3 linked regions of the Arabidopsis thaliana genome follow. The protein of the gene in region 1 interacts with the protein of each later gene in a pairwise test. Each region holds a gene or a part of one and is shown in the gene's direction. Other genes may lie near its edges.

Region 1 (4,874 bases):
CCAAAAGAAGAAGAGGACGAAGAAGAAGTAGCAATAGTGAGAACAAGATCTGTTGGAACTATGAAGATTCTATTGAAGGCTTGGAGAAAGCTTATAATCAATCCAAATACATACGCAACATTGATCGGAATCATTTGGGCTACTTTACATTTCAGGTGTGAAAACAAAACTCTCTTATATTTAACACTGCAATCATATCTTTTGTGATAAATCATCTTACACATCTAAAGATTCAATCTTTATCATCTTACATATTCAAACACTTCCTTTTCTCTTTTTCAAAAAGAAAAGCGATAATTTAGTAGTGAGTTTCCCCTATTTTAAGCTTTCTGTTTGATCATTTTTCGCATCTACAAATTCATTTTTTTTAATATTTTAAAATCGAAAAGTGATAGTCAAGTGATATTCCCAACTATTAAGATTAGCTTCTTTTTTTAATAGTTTGTATCAAATGTTACTCATGTTTTTATTTATTTTCTCCAATAGATTGGGATGGAATTTGCCTGAGATGATTGATAAATCAATACATTTATTATCTGATGGAGGCTTAGGAATGGCCATGTTCAGCTTAGGTAAGCTATATATCTATACAAAAAAAAAAAAAAAACTAAACTTTCATGATTGGAAATTAAATTTAATTTAACAAAAAATGAAACAGGTCTGTTCATGGCATCACAAAGTAGTATCATAGCATGTGGTACAAAAATGGCGATTATAACAATGCTGCTCAAGTTCGTATTAGGACCTGCTCTTATGATTGCTTCTGCGTATTGCATCAGATTAAAAAGTACTCTCTTCAAAGTAGCAATATTACAGGTGAAAATATTAAAATTAATAATCCGTTAATAATAAAATCTGTCATATATATGTTTTTGTCGATTGATTTATTGTGTTGTAGGCAGCATTGCCTCAAGGAGTAGTGCCATTTGTTTTTGCAAAAGAGTATAATCTTCACCCGGAGATCATTAGTACTGGGTAAATAAATATATTTCTTGATTTGATTTTTTTTTTTCCTTCTTCTTATTACAATTTTTTTGAAATTTATTTTTGTGGTTTTTATTGTTTTGCTTTTTCAGGGTGATATTTGGAATGCTAATTGCCTTACCAACAACTTTGGCATATTATTTTCTATTGGACCTATGAATATGACATGTTCAAAAAAAAAACATGTTTTATACGTAGGCTCTTAATTTTGGATTTTATATGGTATTTAATTTAGTCATAGTTTTTTAGATGTTGAAATTATAAAGCTAATAATGTCAACCATTCTCTTTAATTATTGTAAATCATTTTTCTCCTGATATTAAATTAGAAAAAAACATGTCAACTAGTAAAATCAAAATTTTGACTTATTCTTTTTAAAAAATAGGATAATAGATACTATATAGGAGTAAATATAAAAGAACACCATTTAAGAAAATTTAAATATCACATTAATAAGAACAATTCAGATGGTTAACTCTAAGAAAATAAATAGACATTGTCAAAGACTCAACAACAAAAAAAAAATTATATAAAAATAAATAAATTTTGGGGATGAAGAAAACTAGAGAGTACACGGCCTGCTTTGCTTGCCACGCAATGAAAAATGGAAAAAAGCCATAAAAAAATAAAATAAGAATACGAAAATCAAATAAAAAACATAAAAAAAATGCCTTGGAGAGAGGGGAATATATAATCAACGGTTGATAAAGAGGGACACCGACTCATGTCATATTAATCTAACGGCTGAGATATTTTTACTTGATAAGCAGGGAAATACAATATTATAATATAAATTAATTTAGGGTTACCCTTTCTTCTTCCCCTTATATACACAAACACCACACCTCATTTTCTCCAGAATCCTCCATTACTCTTCTTCTCGACTTCGGAATCTTTCAAAGCTTCTTCGATTTTTCCAGAGGCAATCATGGTTAAAGGTCCAGGACTCTACACTGAAATCGGCAAAAAGGCCAGAGGTACGATCTCTCTCTCTTTCTCTATGGTGACGCGAATGTGACTGTTGTTGACATTTCGTAAACATTTGAGCTCTTTTCTGATCTGGGTTTAGGTTGATATTCATTGAATCGGTTAGGGTTTCTCATTCCTGGTTTTATTCCGATTTCTATCGGTCACGCTTAGGTCGTTGAAATTTGAATAGATGCATAAAAAGTTAAATATTCGTGTTTTGTGAGCTGATTGATAATATCTGTGTTCGTTTCCGTCAGATTTATGCTATCCGTTTCGTTTATCTGTATAGATAGAATAACAAGACTGGTTCTCTGGGTTTCAATTTTTGGGTCACTCGTTGATTAGCTGGTTTTGAAATTTTTTATCTTGGATCTGGAAAATGTCTATCAAGGATACAGAGTAGTTGTCTCGTGTTGAACTTTTCTATTTGAGTTGAATCTGAAGGTTTTTGAATGCTATTGTAGATCTTCTGTACAGGGATTACCAAGGAGACCAGAAATTCAGTGTCACCACTTACTCTTCAACTGGTGTTGTAAGTTTTTATTATTGTTTTTATTTCTGTCAATTCTCTATTTTGTTGGTGCGATGGGTTTATTGTTAGTGATAAAATTGAGATTTGTCTAGTTTTCTGTTATGTCAAATTTGGTTGTACAGTTTGTTTTCATGTGTACTCTCACTTGACTCTTTCTTGTGTCGAATGGTGATAAATTTGTAGGCGATCACTACAACGGGAACAAACAAAGGAAGCTTGTTTTTGGGTGATGTTGCTACCCAAGTGAAGAACAACAACTTCACTGCTGATGTCAAAGTTTCCACTGATTCTTCTGTAAGTAGACTTTTTAGCTTTAGCTGTTTCTAGTAGATATATGATGTTGCCGATTGCTGCTGGAGTATTCAATTGATTTTTTTTTGTGTGTGAATAATTTCAGCTTTTGACCACTCTTACCTTTGATGAGCCTGCCCCTGGACTGAAAGTTATTGTTCAGGCTAAGTTGCCCGATCACAAATCTGGAAAGGTATATAACTCCACCAGCTTTCTTTTCTTTCTGTTCCGTTTTTTTAAAGGTTGGTATGTTGGAGATAACCATTATTTGTTGTTTTCTGAGCAGGCTGAGGTTCAGTATTTCCATGACTATGCTGGTATCTCTACCAGCGTTGGATTCACAGCTACCCCGATTGTCAACTTCTCCGGTGTGGTTGGAACCAATGGTTTGTCTCTTGGTACTGATGTGGCCTATAACACCGAATCTGGCAACTTCAAACATTTCAATGCTGGTTTCAACTTCACCAAGGATGATTTGACTGCTTCCCTCATTCTGTAAGTGCCTCCCTCCATATGAAATGATGACTTGAGATTTTAATGCTGCTGGTTTTAAAAGAGTTGTTTCTTAAACTGTTTTTTTTCAGGAATGACAAAGGTGAGAAATTGAATGCATCCTACTACCAGATTGTGAGCCCGTCGACTGTGGTTGGAGCTGAGATTAGCCACAACTTCACGACCAAAGAGAACGCCATCACTGTCGGAACTCAACACGCGCTTGACCCATTGACCACAGTGAAGGCAAGAGTGAACAATGCTGGTGTGGCTAACGCTCTGATCCAACATGAGTGGCGTCCAAAGTCGTTCTTCACCGTTTCTGGAGAGGTTGATTCTAAGGCGATCGATAAGAGTGCCAAGGTTGGGATTGCTCTCGCTCTCAAGCCCTGAGAAGATACCACCAAATGGGCCCTGAAGTGGGTAGAATAGGTGTTATTTCTTTTTCGTCTTCAAATCTTTGGACAAATCGCTGTCTGGTTTGCTAAACAATCTTTCATTTGTTTTTTTTGTTCGGTGTTGGGATTTGTAGAAAATAAAAGAGAAAAATACTATTGAAAGGATCGTCTTTGACGATAAAGAACCATTAAGATCGTTTTACTTGGCTCTCTCTCTTTTATTTTCCGCCTCTGCTACAATACTCTGTTCCATATCTTTTACTTGGTTCTCTCTTTTATTTTCTGCCTCTGCTATACTTTGTTCCATTTGGAGTTCCCTTAGTGGATTTTTCTATGAGGTTCTTCTTACATGTCTAATTAATTTTGTCTAGTTGGTCAGATTTTTATCTGAGGTTTAGCCAACAAGATAGGTACACCTTCAATAGCACCTGTACTGATTCTTACATAGAACCAAAAAGTCATCAGTTTTATTATTCTTCAAACCAAAGAACCAAAAGCAAGAGAAGTAGAACCTATTCCGATTAGAGCTTTGGACTGTATCGTGTTCATCAAAACCCCTTCTTTTCGAGCCAACACATCGATCATCTCGAAACCAACCTGAAAACAACACAAAGTTGTAGCATTGCCGAGATCAAATCCAGCAAATCAGTAAAAGAAAAAGATTGTGTCTTGTTCCATGATACTTGTTTCCTGGATTGCCCAACCCAACGATAAGCCAAGGAGTGTACTCTACTTTGAATCTATCATTCTGACCACCAGAAGTAGATGAACAAACACGATACCTCTGTTTCCGGGATACTGGCTTTTGCGTTTGAAAATGGTAGATACTTGGTGTTTTCAATTTATAAAGAGCATCAAAAATGTTTTCAATTTATAACTTTTCTATGCTTTCAGCAATGGAAGACAAAATCAGTTTTTTTTTTTTCCATTTGGATTTACCCTTCTCCATCGTACATTATTAATCAATTAAAGAGTTACCCTAACGTTGTTTAAAAATATCTCCTTGTTGCTTAAAAACGACGATAAAAGCTTGAGCCTTCTAGCTCTGTTCGTTTGTGGCCTATTTCCACCACGTAAGAGCTATGTAGTTGCTCCTTTAGGCTTTGGCGAAGGAATCTGATGTCGATAAGGCGAAGAACCATGAGGACTAGACAGTGTTCGAAACACGGGTTGGTGTTGCCCGTTTCTTGATCCAAATCCTTGGGATC
Region 2 (5,337 bases), on another chromosome or scaffold:
ACTTGCTCAAATATGAAATATCATAACTGGCATTTACCGTACAGACCAAGAAGACCTCAAAATAGATTTTTGGTCTGTTACATTTGTAAGAACAGAACATAAGAGAAGTGAATAAATTGTTCACAATCAGACGAGCGAGTGTTTGTGTGTGGTATCAGAGTCATTCTTCATCCCTTTTATTGTTCTTGTATGAAATGAGTGTGTTCGACCTTGTCAATCTGCAAAGCCAGAGAAACTTTCTGAACTTATACTACTGAGAAAACACTATAATGATTTGATTAACAAACACTAGTATCAAAGAATGTAATTCAACCACTCTCTTGATCCAGGTGAACGGTACAGCCACATCGGTATCAGTAAATGCTCCCAACACAACAAACACACCTTATCCAACCGCCAAGCCGATTAATGTCTCTCTCTCTTACATGTTTCATGGAGACAAGGCAAGCAAGTTATGCTGGAAGCAACTTGTCTCATTATAGCTTGAATCTCCCTCGTGATCTCCTTATTACTTTTCTCCTTTGAGACAGCGTGAAAAGGAGGAAGACAGAATCAAGACAGCATAAACATCACAAACATACAAATGAAACTGAGTTAATTGAAATGTTTATGCATAAATAAACCAACTTCTAGATCTTAAATATCACGTAAGTGGAATAACATTGGTTATAAGCAGATCATCAGGATAAGATTCCAATAGTTAAAGTTTTGCGTCAATAATTGTTTTTGTCGAGAAGGTTTGCATCAATTATTGCATCTTTCTTTCTATCTTTTTTTTTCTTTCTCTTAGAATCGAATTTTAACATATACTTTGATAATGATATATTGTGGTTCTTTTCACTTCACGATTACTTTAGAACATTGTGAATAATGACACTTCAAAATAAAAGGGATAAGATCAGAAATAACATATGAAAATTCCACAAAATCACTACAAATAATTCAGATAATGAAAAAAATACATGTACGTTATGTTATAAAATTCTCAAATATGGTTTTCAGCAAAAATAAATTTGGTTTTTTACTACAAAGTACAAACCAAAGTAAATTGATTTTACAAAGAAAAACGAATTAGAAAATCGTTTTTAAATCATAGAACTTATTCAGTCGAAGAGAATGGCTGACACTTGACGGGTCAGTTATAACTTATAAGTGGACTCTTGGAAATGATCATGAGTTATAGAAAGATCACAAACTTCAATTTATGATATATTGTTGACCTCAGATAATATTTTAGCTATTTATTGGATGTATAAAGATCCATATGAATACCAAAAGAAGGAGTTTTATAACCATTCACCTAACAAAAATGAAATGGAAAAAGAAAAGAGAGCAAATAAGAGGAGGAGAAGAAGAAGACTTTTGGCAAAAGCCAAGAGTCATACCTATTAGTCTATTACATAAGGTGTGATGTTTTTTTTTGCTGTCACATTCCATCTGACCTACCAAAGCTCTCAAAGTGGAGCATCTATTGTGTCTTGGTATAGAGTCACGATTAGATAAATATACAACACCATATGTACTTGTGTCAAATTATAAATATTTGAAACAGTAAGCAACCAGTAATTCGATAAAGACGTCTACAAGCATCTACACATCTAAATTGATTAAAACAAAACACCTTTAAATATAGTGTTTATGAAGTCAAATCTTCACCTTGATTATTCTAAAACAATGGTTGGAGTAATGTTGCTGAATGTTGAGTGAGAATTGACATTTGAGAGTAACTTTCACTATAATGAACTGGATGATAAAGTTGATCCGATAATAATTGAATTTACCATGAATGGTATCACAAGATACATGTATAGAAGACAGTGGTGTTACTTGTTACGCAAAATTAAAAAATGAGCATACTATTGCAGTTACTTTGGATTTATTAAGGAAAATTATGGTTTGACAACAACAATAATACAAAATCTTATGAAAATTAAATAAAAAGAAAAACAAATTTGGCTATTGGCAAAGCTCATTGGCTGTCAAAAGGAATATATACAAAATCTGCTACGTTGCAGTCTTGCGTGCACCGGCCCAGCCCATAGGATTAGAGTATTAAACCTCGAATATTCCATCAGCCTGCGCGTGAATCCAAGCGCCATTAGTTTCCCCAAATCAGTTCTTAATCCTACCCATAAACGATGGGTAAAAATGGTAAATAAGAAAGAAAGTAAAGTACAATATAGTAATATTAATTAGTGAATCTAATCTATTAGCCTTTTTCCCAAGAAAAAATCTCAGCCACTCGATCATATTTTCAATTTTCATCATCACGTTCTTCTTCTCTTTTAAATAACCCTAAATCCTCACCAAACCCAAACCCTCACTCACTATTTTCACATTCTCTTCTCTCTCGATATCATCTAAATCTCTCTCGATCTCAATTTCGCAAAATGGGTAAGCTTCTCGCTCTTGTTGATCTGCGATTCTTCGATTTATTGTTCTTTCGTTGATACTTTTTGAATCTGATCGTAATTTTGGTTTGTGTAGCTGACAAGAAGATCAGAATCGGAATCAACGGTGAGTGTTTTTCTTATCGAATTCCATAAGTTTTTTGGTTAGGTTTAAGTGATTTGGATCTGTAGAAGCTGAGTTTTGAATCTTCGTGAAGGTTTCGGAAGAATCGGTCGTTTGGTTGCTAGAGTTGTTCTTCAGAGGGATGATGTTGAGCTCGTCGCTGTTAACGATCCTTTCATCACCACCGAGTACATGGTTCGTTTCTTCTTCTCTTCGATACTAGTTCGTATCTGGATTTGAGTTAATAGTTTTATCTGAATTTTTGTTAATATACATGATGGTGTGTGCTGTTTATCATATAGATCTGAGAACTTGCTTTGTTGTATTCTTCTTCTATGTTGATTCTCTGTAAATTCGTTTTGACTGATTGTGTATATGGTATCGATTTGTTGCAGACATACATGTTTAAGTATGACAGTGTTCACGGTCAGTGGAAGCACCATGAGCTTAAGGTGAAGGATGACAAAACTCTTCTCTTCGGTGAGAAGCCAGTCACTGTTTTCGGCATCAGGTACATAATCATGGATGATTTTATTATAGTGGTTCTCTGTTATGTTATTGAGAGTTGTGAAATTCTGATTTGTGGTGTTTTATTTTTGAAGGAACCCTGAGGACATCCCATGGGGTGAGGCTGGAGCTGACTTTGTTGTTGAGTCTACTGGTGTCTTCACTGACAAAGACAAGGCTGCTGCTCACTTGAAGGTTTGAACTTGGATCTTTTATATAATAGTCGAGAACTTGTTTATTTAAGATCTATATCATCATCATATTGTTTCATTGTTATTCAGGGTGGTGCTAAAAAGGTTGTCATCTCTGCCCCAAGCAAAGATGCGCCCATGTTCGTTGTTGGTGTCAACGAGCACGAGTACAAGTCTGACCTTGACATTGTTTCCAACGCTAGTTGCACCACTAACTGCCTTGCTCCTCTTGCCAAGGTATCTTTTTCTGTTTCAACCCATAAACTTGTGTAAATTGTTCTGAATTCTGAATTTTAAGTTGAATCATTTCTCTTACAGTTGCAATCTATTTGTGCAGGTTATTAATGACAGGTTTGGCATTGTTGAGGGACTCATGACCACTGTCCACTCTATCACTGGTACGTATTTATATTTGGTTTCATTGGGTTGATTCTTGAAAATATGTATATTTGACTCAATAGTAACTGTTGTTTTGGTGATCAGCTACTCAGAAGACAGTTGATGGTCCATCAATGAAGGACTGGAGAGGTGGAAGAGCTGCTTCCTTCAACATTATTCCTAGCAGCACTGGTGCCGCCAAGGTATCATTTCAGCCTCTTATTTGTTTTAATTGATTTTGATTGAGAAATTATGTTGAATCTGATTTTTGTATCATGGTTGTTGATAGGCTGTTGGGAAAGTGTTGCCATCCCTCAATGGAAAATTGACCGGAATGTCTTTCCGTGTTCCAACCGTTGATGTCTCAGTTGTTGATCTCACCGTTAGACTTGAGAAAGCTGCAACATACGACGAAATCAAGAAGGCCATCAAGTGAGAACCATCAAGGACCCTCAGTCCTAACCATATCATATTAGAATTTATTGGGTACTTACAAAAGATTTTGGTTAAAACTTTTCAGGGAGGAATCTGAAGGCAAAATGAAGGGAATTTTGGGATACACTGAGGATGATGTTGTGTCTACCGACTTTGTTGGTGACAACAGGTATAAAAAATATTGTCTGTAGAGTGATATACAGTTTTCTGATCTTATAAATGGCGAGAGCAAATAATTGAAATATTGGGTTTGTGTTTATAGGTCAAGCATTTTCGATGCCAAGGCTGGGATTGCATTGAGCGACAAGTTTGTGAAGTTGGTGTCATGGTACGACAACGAATGGGGTTACAGTTCTCGTGTCGTTGACCTTATCGTTCACATGTCAAAGGCCTAAGCTTACACCGGCGAGAGTTTGTGTGTGGTTGAGTTCGTACTGTTCTGAATAAAAAAAAGGAGAAAAGAAAACTCGAGTTGTTATGTTTTTTCACTGATTCCATGCGCAGTCATGAGAGTTTGTAGCTTTTGTCTTTTTGCTTTCTCTTAATGTTTCCCTGCTTTATTTACTGAAACCATTGGTTTGGTTTTTTATGTTAATTAAGTTTTTAGTTCATTACTTTCTCGTGCTAACTCAAACCCAACTGGCAACTGGAACATTGAACGTCCTCTTCTCGTATTTTTAATAGTCTATTTGTACTTGAGCTTCTCCACCAAAATGGTTCTTCCTAGTCATATAGCTCACATTAGGTCAATCATCTTCGATTGAAAGCAAAAGTTACTGAGACGGATTTATTGGTTGATAAGCATCGCCACATTGTTTTTTAACGAATCAGCCAAGTTTGTTGAAACGGAGGATCAAAAATTGGAATTTAGTATTTCCTTGCAATTGCGAAGATCCAATTTTTTGGTTGACATCATTGTAAAATGATTGATATTATAATTTTATTTGCATGCTAACTTTTAAAGTTAATAGGAAACTCGTATTTTCAATAGTGACATGTTATTGCATGTGATAATACGATTATTTTATTACTTTATTAGTCGTAAATGAAGAGTAACATGCCACTATTGAAATGGTACTCATGAGATCACACGCTAGTTATTAAAGGAACATAGAAGTAAAGAAGGTTTTTATTGCAACATCAAAGAGAACAAAAACCACACATCAGTTGTAATGATACATCAAAGTTATATATATGACAATGTAACTTTTATTATTAAATAACGCATTCAAGAACACTTTTTCTGCAGTTCTTCACAAAGCACACGCATAATTCTAGAATTTCAAACCGGAACCTTTGAGTTTCTCCTCGA
Region 3 (5,198 bases), on another chromosome or scaffold:
ACAGTTTAAAAACATTTTTCTAGTCAAAAATGATTATGTATGTTTCTAATAATGTGTGTTTGCAATTTTGACAGAGAGACAAGTATGATGCAGCAGTTGGTGATATCACCATCACTTCCAACAGATCTTTGTATGTTGATTTTACTTTGCCGTACACTGACATTGGTATTGGAATCTTGACAGTGAAAAAGAAAAGCCAAGGGATGTGGACCTTCTTTGATCCTTTCGAAAAATCCTTGTGGCTAGCAAGTGGAGCTTTCTTTGTCTTAACTGGGATTGTTGTTTGGTTAGTTGAACGGTCCGTTAATCCGGAATTTCAGGGCTCTTGGGGACAACAACTTAGTATGATGCTCTGGTTTGGTTTCTCAACCATTGTATTTGCTCACAGTAAGTGTTTATGTTAGAGTACTACTCTTCATGAAATCCCATCCTTTTGTATATTTTGATCTATAACAAATTACGCACATTCTTGGCAGGAGAGAAGCTACAGAAAATGTCATCAAGATTCTTAGTCATAGTTTGGGTTTTTGTGGTGTTAATATTGACTTCAAGTTACAGCGCAAACTTGACATCAACCAAGACCATTTCTCGCATGCAATTAAATCATCAGATGGTTTTCGGGGGATCTACGACGTCAATGACTGCGAAGCTCGGATCCATTAATGCAGTTGAGGCCTATGCACAACTTTTGCGAGATGGAACTCTTAATCATGTCATCAATGAAATACCTTATCTCAGTATCCTTATCGGAAATTATCCGAATGATTTCGTAATGACAGATAGAGTGACTAATACCAATGGCTTTGGCTTTGTATGTACCCTTCTCCTCAAACCTCTCATTTTCTCTCCATTATTTGGTTACTTATTCTTGTTACGTACTAATTTATGTTTACCTCTCAGATGTTCCAGAAAGGTTCGGATTTGGTTCCTAAAGTATCGCGAGAAATCGCGAAGCTAAGATCATTGGGAATGTTGAAAGACATGGAGAAAAAATGGTTTCAAAAACTGGATTCACTAAATGTACATTCCAACACCGAGGAAGTTGCATCTACCAACGACGATGATGAGGCATCTAAGCGATTCACCTTCCGTGAGTTGCGCGGTTTGTTCATCATTGCGGGAGCTGCTCATGTTCTCGTACTAGCCCTACATCTCTTTCATACGCGTCAAGAGGTATCACGACTATGCACCAAACTTCAAAGCTTCTATAAGTAAAAAGTGATCCATCGTTCATAAGCTCTACTATAGCAATTGACGGGACAGGACTCATAAGTAACAACAAAGTACACTTCGAAACAAATTTCACATGTAATACTTGTTTTTTTTTCCCGTTTAAATTCACATGTAATAATTTAATTCACGTAAATACTAAAGTGATTCACCCATCACGAAGTATTTTTTGAATTAAATACATCAACTAATCGAGTTTTTGATAGGGACTTTTGCTTTTTTGAATATTGCTTATCAAATCAAAATTTTCAAATTCTTGTCCATATACGCCTATCAAATATCTTCTTTTAAAGAAAGTCTCCTAAAGAGTTGAAAACTTGAAATATATACTTTTCTAAAATATAATTTTATTTGGGCGTTACGTTCTAGAAAATGGAACCCGTCTACTAAAATGGGCCGCTCGTGAACTCGTGGCAGTCAAACACTGGTCGGCGCATAAAAGCATATCCAAATACGCTGCGTTTCATGCTTACCCGACCCGTCTTAAATATTTAAAGAATATTCCAGATTAGCGCGTGAGATGCAGTTGCCATGTCTCGCCTCAGGAATGACGACATTTGCCAAAATAACAGAGCTACAACGGTAAATAAGGAAAATGATTAAGGGCAATTTGGTCTTTTAGGTTAAGAAAAGTATTGAATCAGATCTGACTTTTTGGCCAAGAAAAACTCTCAGCCACTAGATCATTCCGACCCCTCCTCCACGTTCTTCTCTCTTTTAAATAACCTCTTCACGGAACCCTTCTCACTCACCTATCTCACTCTAAAATCTCTCTCTGCCAATCTCATCTTCAACCTCTCTCTAACTCTCGTTTTCGATTCTACAATGGGTTAGTCTCTCGCTTTTACTAATCTCTCGTCCCGTCGCTGCTATTTTACGTTGTTGAGTTTTCTGATCTGATCGTTTTTCTGATTTTGTTTGTTGTTTTATGTAGCTGACAAGAAGATTAGGATCGGAATCAACGGTGAGTTTCGAATCGATTTTGTAATTCGGGTTTGTATGTTCTCATGTATCTAGATCTAGAATCTGACTGTTGATTTCTGTTATCGTTAGGATTCGGAAGAATTGGTCGTTTGGTTGCTAGAGTTGTTCTCCAGAGGGACGATGTTGAGCTCGTCGCTGTCAACGACCCCTTCATCACTACTGAGTACATGGTTAGTGTTCCTTCCTTGGTTTTGACGGTGATTCGATCTTGGTTTGCTTCAATATTATTTTGATCTCTTGACGATAAGATTCTGTTAGTCGCTCTGGTACCTTTGCTTTCGTTAGATTTGATAGATGGATCATATCATTTATGGATTATGCATGTGGATTTAAGTGTCAGATGATTTGTTCAATTAGTGCACAGATCTGGAAACTGGTTTAGTGTTCATTGTTCATACTGTTTAGCTGATCAGTATACTTGTGGAGCTGTTGTTTGTTTTGCTGTGTTTGTAATGTTATTGATTAGCCTGTTTGTGATTAGAGTTGATATGGTTGAGTTGATTTTGATTGCGCTCTGTGTTTGATTGCTGCAGACCTACATGTTCAAGTACGACAGTGTTCACGGTCAATGGAAACACAATGAACTCAAGATCAAGGATGAGAAGACCCTTCTCTTCGGTGAGAAGCCAGTCACTGTTTTCGGCATCAGGTACATTTATCAACCAGTTCTCTGTCTCTTTGCGTGTATACATATTACAAACTGTTGTGAATTTCAATCTCATTAGTTTTTGGTATTTGTGAAGGAACCCTGAGGATATCCCATGGGCCGAGGCTGGAGCTGACTACGTTGTTGAGTCTACTGGTGTCTTCACTGACAAAGACAAGGCTGCAGCTCACTTGAAGGTTTGTCTTATTTGAATTGGTTATTTTTGTCTTGTAATGATATAAATAGTTTATGTGCTAGAATTTGCTTAGTATCATTCAACTAAATTTGTGACTTGTTGTATTTTCAGGGTGGTGCCAAGAAGGTTGTTATCTCTGCCCCCAGCAAAGACGCTCCAATGTTTGTTGTTGGTGTCAACGAGCACGAATACAAGTCCGACCTTGACATTGTCTCCAACGCTAGCTGCACCACTAACTGCCTTGCTCCCCTTGCCAAGGTAAAATATCTGATATTCTATATGATCAAATTTGACTTTGTATTTCAAGTTGAAGTGACTAATTTCATTTAACGTTCTTTGATTTCATTGTGTAGGTTATCAATGACAGATTTGGAATTGTTGAGGGTCTTATGACTACAGTCCACTCAATCACTGGTAAATTTATCAATCAGTTAGAAGTTTATTACAAACTTGCTTGCCTATAGGTGGAAAATTTGTGATTTAATGGGGTTTGCTTTATGATTTCAGCTACTCAGAAGACTGTTGATGGGCCTTCAATGAAGGACTGGAGAGGTGGAAGAGCTGCTTCATTCAACATTATTCCCAGCAGCACTGGAGCTGCCAAGGCTGTCGGAAAGGTGCTTCCAGCTCTTAACGGAAAGTTGACTGGAATGTCTTTCCGTGTCCCAACCGTTGATGTCTCAGTTGTTGACCTTACTGTCAGACTCGAGAAAGCTGCTACCTACGATGAAATCAAAAAGGCTATCAAGTAAGCTTTTGAGCAATGACAGATTAAGTTTACTTATATTCCAGTAGTGATCAAATTACTCACCAAGTGTTTTTACCACCAATACATAGGGAGGAATCCGAAGGCAAACTCAAGGGAATCCTTGGATACACCGAGGATGATGTTGTCTCAACTGACTTCGTTGGCGACAACAGGTCGAGCATTTTTGACGCCAAGGCTGGAATTGCATTGAGCGACAAGTTTGTGAAATTGGTGTCATGGTACGACAACGAATGGGGTTACAGTTCCCGTGTGGTCGACTTGATCGTCCACATGTCAAAGGCCTAAGCTAAGAAGCAGATCTCGAATGATAGGGAGTGGAAAGTCATCTGTTCATCCCCTTTTATGGTCTGAATTTGTCGTTTTCGAATAAAATTTCTTTGAACTTGGAACTTTTTTTTTTTTTGGTTTTCTTAATTCTCATTCATGTGAGGTGATGGGAGTTTGTAGACCGATGTTTTACTGGAAGCCCTTTGTTTTTGGCTTTTGATATATTGAGTTAACGTTATGGTTTTCAATTTTGTTCCACTTCTCTTTTTAACTATATACTAAATCAAATCTGAACGAAAAATGAAACTAAATGAGCTCCCGTTGATGATGACGTAGCAAATCTAAGGAACTAGAGGTGTACACTTATTAATCTAGCTTCTTCTAGTTTTCGAATAAAAGTTTCTAAGTGGAACCTATATTTTATGTTTGCGATTCTCATTTATGCGAGTTTGTAGACTGATGTTTGAATGAAAAGTATTTCATGTTGCCTTTTGTTATTGATTCTTCTCAAAACATAAGAAATTCATTAACAGATGTGCGGTTTATAAAGACAACGAAATATGTGTTCATCTGTAAAGGTACTTTGAACAAATTATTAAACCATGTTACACAAATTCACGTATAGTGGCACTTCAATTATTTGTACACATCCGCATCGAAAAAATGGGGAGGTCGTTGATATACGACACAAGAAGGCCCAATGCCAAAGCCCAGTTGGTCAAACACAAAGCCTAACCGGTTTTTCAAACCAGACGGTGTAAAACGCTTCCAAAACCAGAGAGCCCAACTTTGGGCCGTAAACCCTTCTCTTGCGATTAGTCCTCCTCAAATTTCTCCGGCAAGAGGCCGTCGTCATTTTCACAATTTCCCTTTGCTCCATCTTTCAGGTACGATCTTTGAGTTTCATGTCTAACTTATTTTCGTCATATGTCACTAGTAAGATTCAAATTTCATTGATGATGATAAAAATTTGATTTTCCTATGGTTGCAGTTGAAGAACCCTGTTCTGGGTTTTAGATTTAATGTCTTGGCTTATTCAAAATCGCATTGGAAACACCTTGTTACGCCTTAATCCTTCTTCGTCTTCTATCGCTATTTTCTCTACG

Evidence for each region. The genes of interacting proteins can lie anywhere in the genome.
Region 2: the proteins of VDAC3 (region 1) and GAPC2 interact in a two-hybrid assay, tested with the Arabidopsis thaliana proteins (one study listed by BioGRID).
Region 3: the proteins of VDAC3 (region 1) and GAPC1 interact in a two-hybrid assay, tested with the Arabidopsis thaliana proteins (one study listed by BioGRID).

What each region holds. Positions count from the first base shown.
Region 1 is NC_003076.8:4,888,428-4,893,301, reverse strand, and holds VDAC3 (voltage dependent anion channel 3), read left to right. Parts: upstream 1-1,698; 5' UTR 1,699-1,912; coding exon 1,913-1,961; intron 1,962-2,417; coding exon 2,418-2,485; intron 2,486-2,668; coding exon 2,669-2,779; intron 2,780-2,882; coding exon 2,883-2,969; intron 2,970-3,062; coding exon 3,063-3,271; intron 3,272-3,360; coding exon 3,361-3,661; 3' UTR 3,662-3,779; exon of another isoform or gene 3,780-4,009; intron 4,010-4,131; 3' UTR 4,132-4,338; downstream 4,339-4,874. Other genes in the region: PIN8 (Auxin efflux carrier family protein), read left to right, coding at 1-155, 487-572, 659-816, 899-975, 1,077-1,143; AT5G15080 (Protein kinase superfamily protein), read right to left, coding at 4,747-4,874. UniProt on the Arabidopsis thaliana protein: Forms a channel through the mitochondrial outer membrane that allows diffusion of small hydrophilic molecules. The channel adopts an open conformation at low or zero membrane potential and a closed conformation at potentials above 30-40 mV.
Region 2 is NC_003070.9:4,607,548-4,612,884, reverse strand, and holds GAPC2 (glyceraldehyde-3-phosphate dehydrogenase C2), read left to right. Parts: upstream 1-2,006; 5' UTR 2,007-2,390; coding exon 2,391-2,394; intron 2,395-2,487; coding exon 2,488-2,517; intron 2,518-2,608; coding exon 2,609-2,709; intron 2,710-2,909; coding exon 2,910-3,025; intron 3,026-3,116; coding exon 3,117-3,216; intron 3,217-3,302; coding exon 3,303-3,449; intron 3,450-3,549; coding exon 3,550-3,610; intron 3,611-3,695; coding exon 3,696-3,793; intron 3,794-3,879; coding exon 3,880-4,022; intron 4,023-4,110; coding exon 4,111-4,194; intron 4,195-4,287; coding exon 4,288-4,420; 3' UTR 4,421-4,808; downstream 4,809-5,337. Other genes in the region: ST4C (sulfotransferase 4C), read right to left, coding at 5,300-5,337. UniProt on the Arabidopsis thaliana protein: Key enzyme in glycolysis that catalyzes the first step of the pathway by converting D-glyceraldehyde 3-phosphate (G3P) into 3-phospho-D-glyceroyl phosphate. Essential for the maintenance of cellular ATP levels and carbohydrate metabolism. Binds DNA in vitro.
Region 3 is NC_003074.8:1,079,022-1,084,219, forward strand, and holds GAPC1 (glyceraldehyde-3-phosphate dehydrogenase C subunit 1), read left to right. Parts: upstream 1-1,920; 5' UTR 1,921-2,055; coding exon 2,056-2,059; intron 2,060-2,164; coding exon 2,165-2,194; intron 2,195-2,283; coding exon 2,284-2,384; intron 2,385-2,747; coding exon 2,748-2,863; intron 2,864-2,957; coding exon 2,958-3,057; intron 3,058-3,167; coding exon 3,168-3,314; intron 3,315-3,409; coding exon 3,410-3,470; intron 3,471-3,563; coding exon 3,564-3,804; intron 3,805-3,893; coding exon 3,894-4,110; 3' UTR 4,111-4,669; downstream 4,670-5,198. Other genes in the region: GLR1.1 (glutamate receptor 1.1), read left to right, coding at 75-387, 477-811, 901-1,215; AT3G04130 (Tetratricopeptide repeat (TPR)-like superfamily protein), read left to right, coding at 5,115-5,198.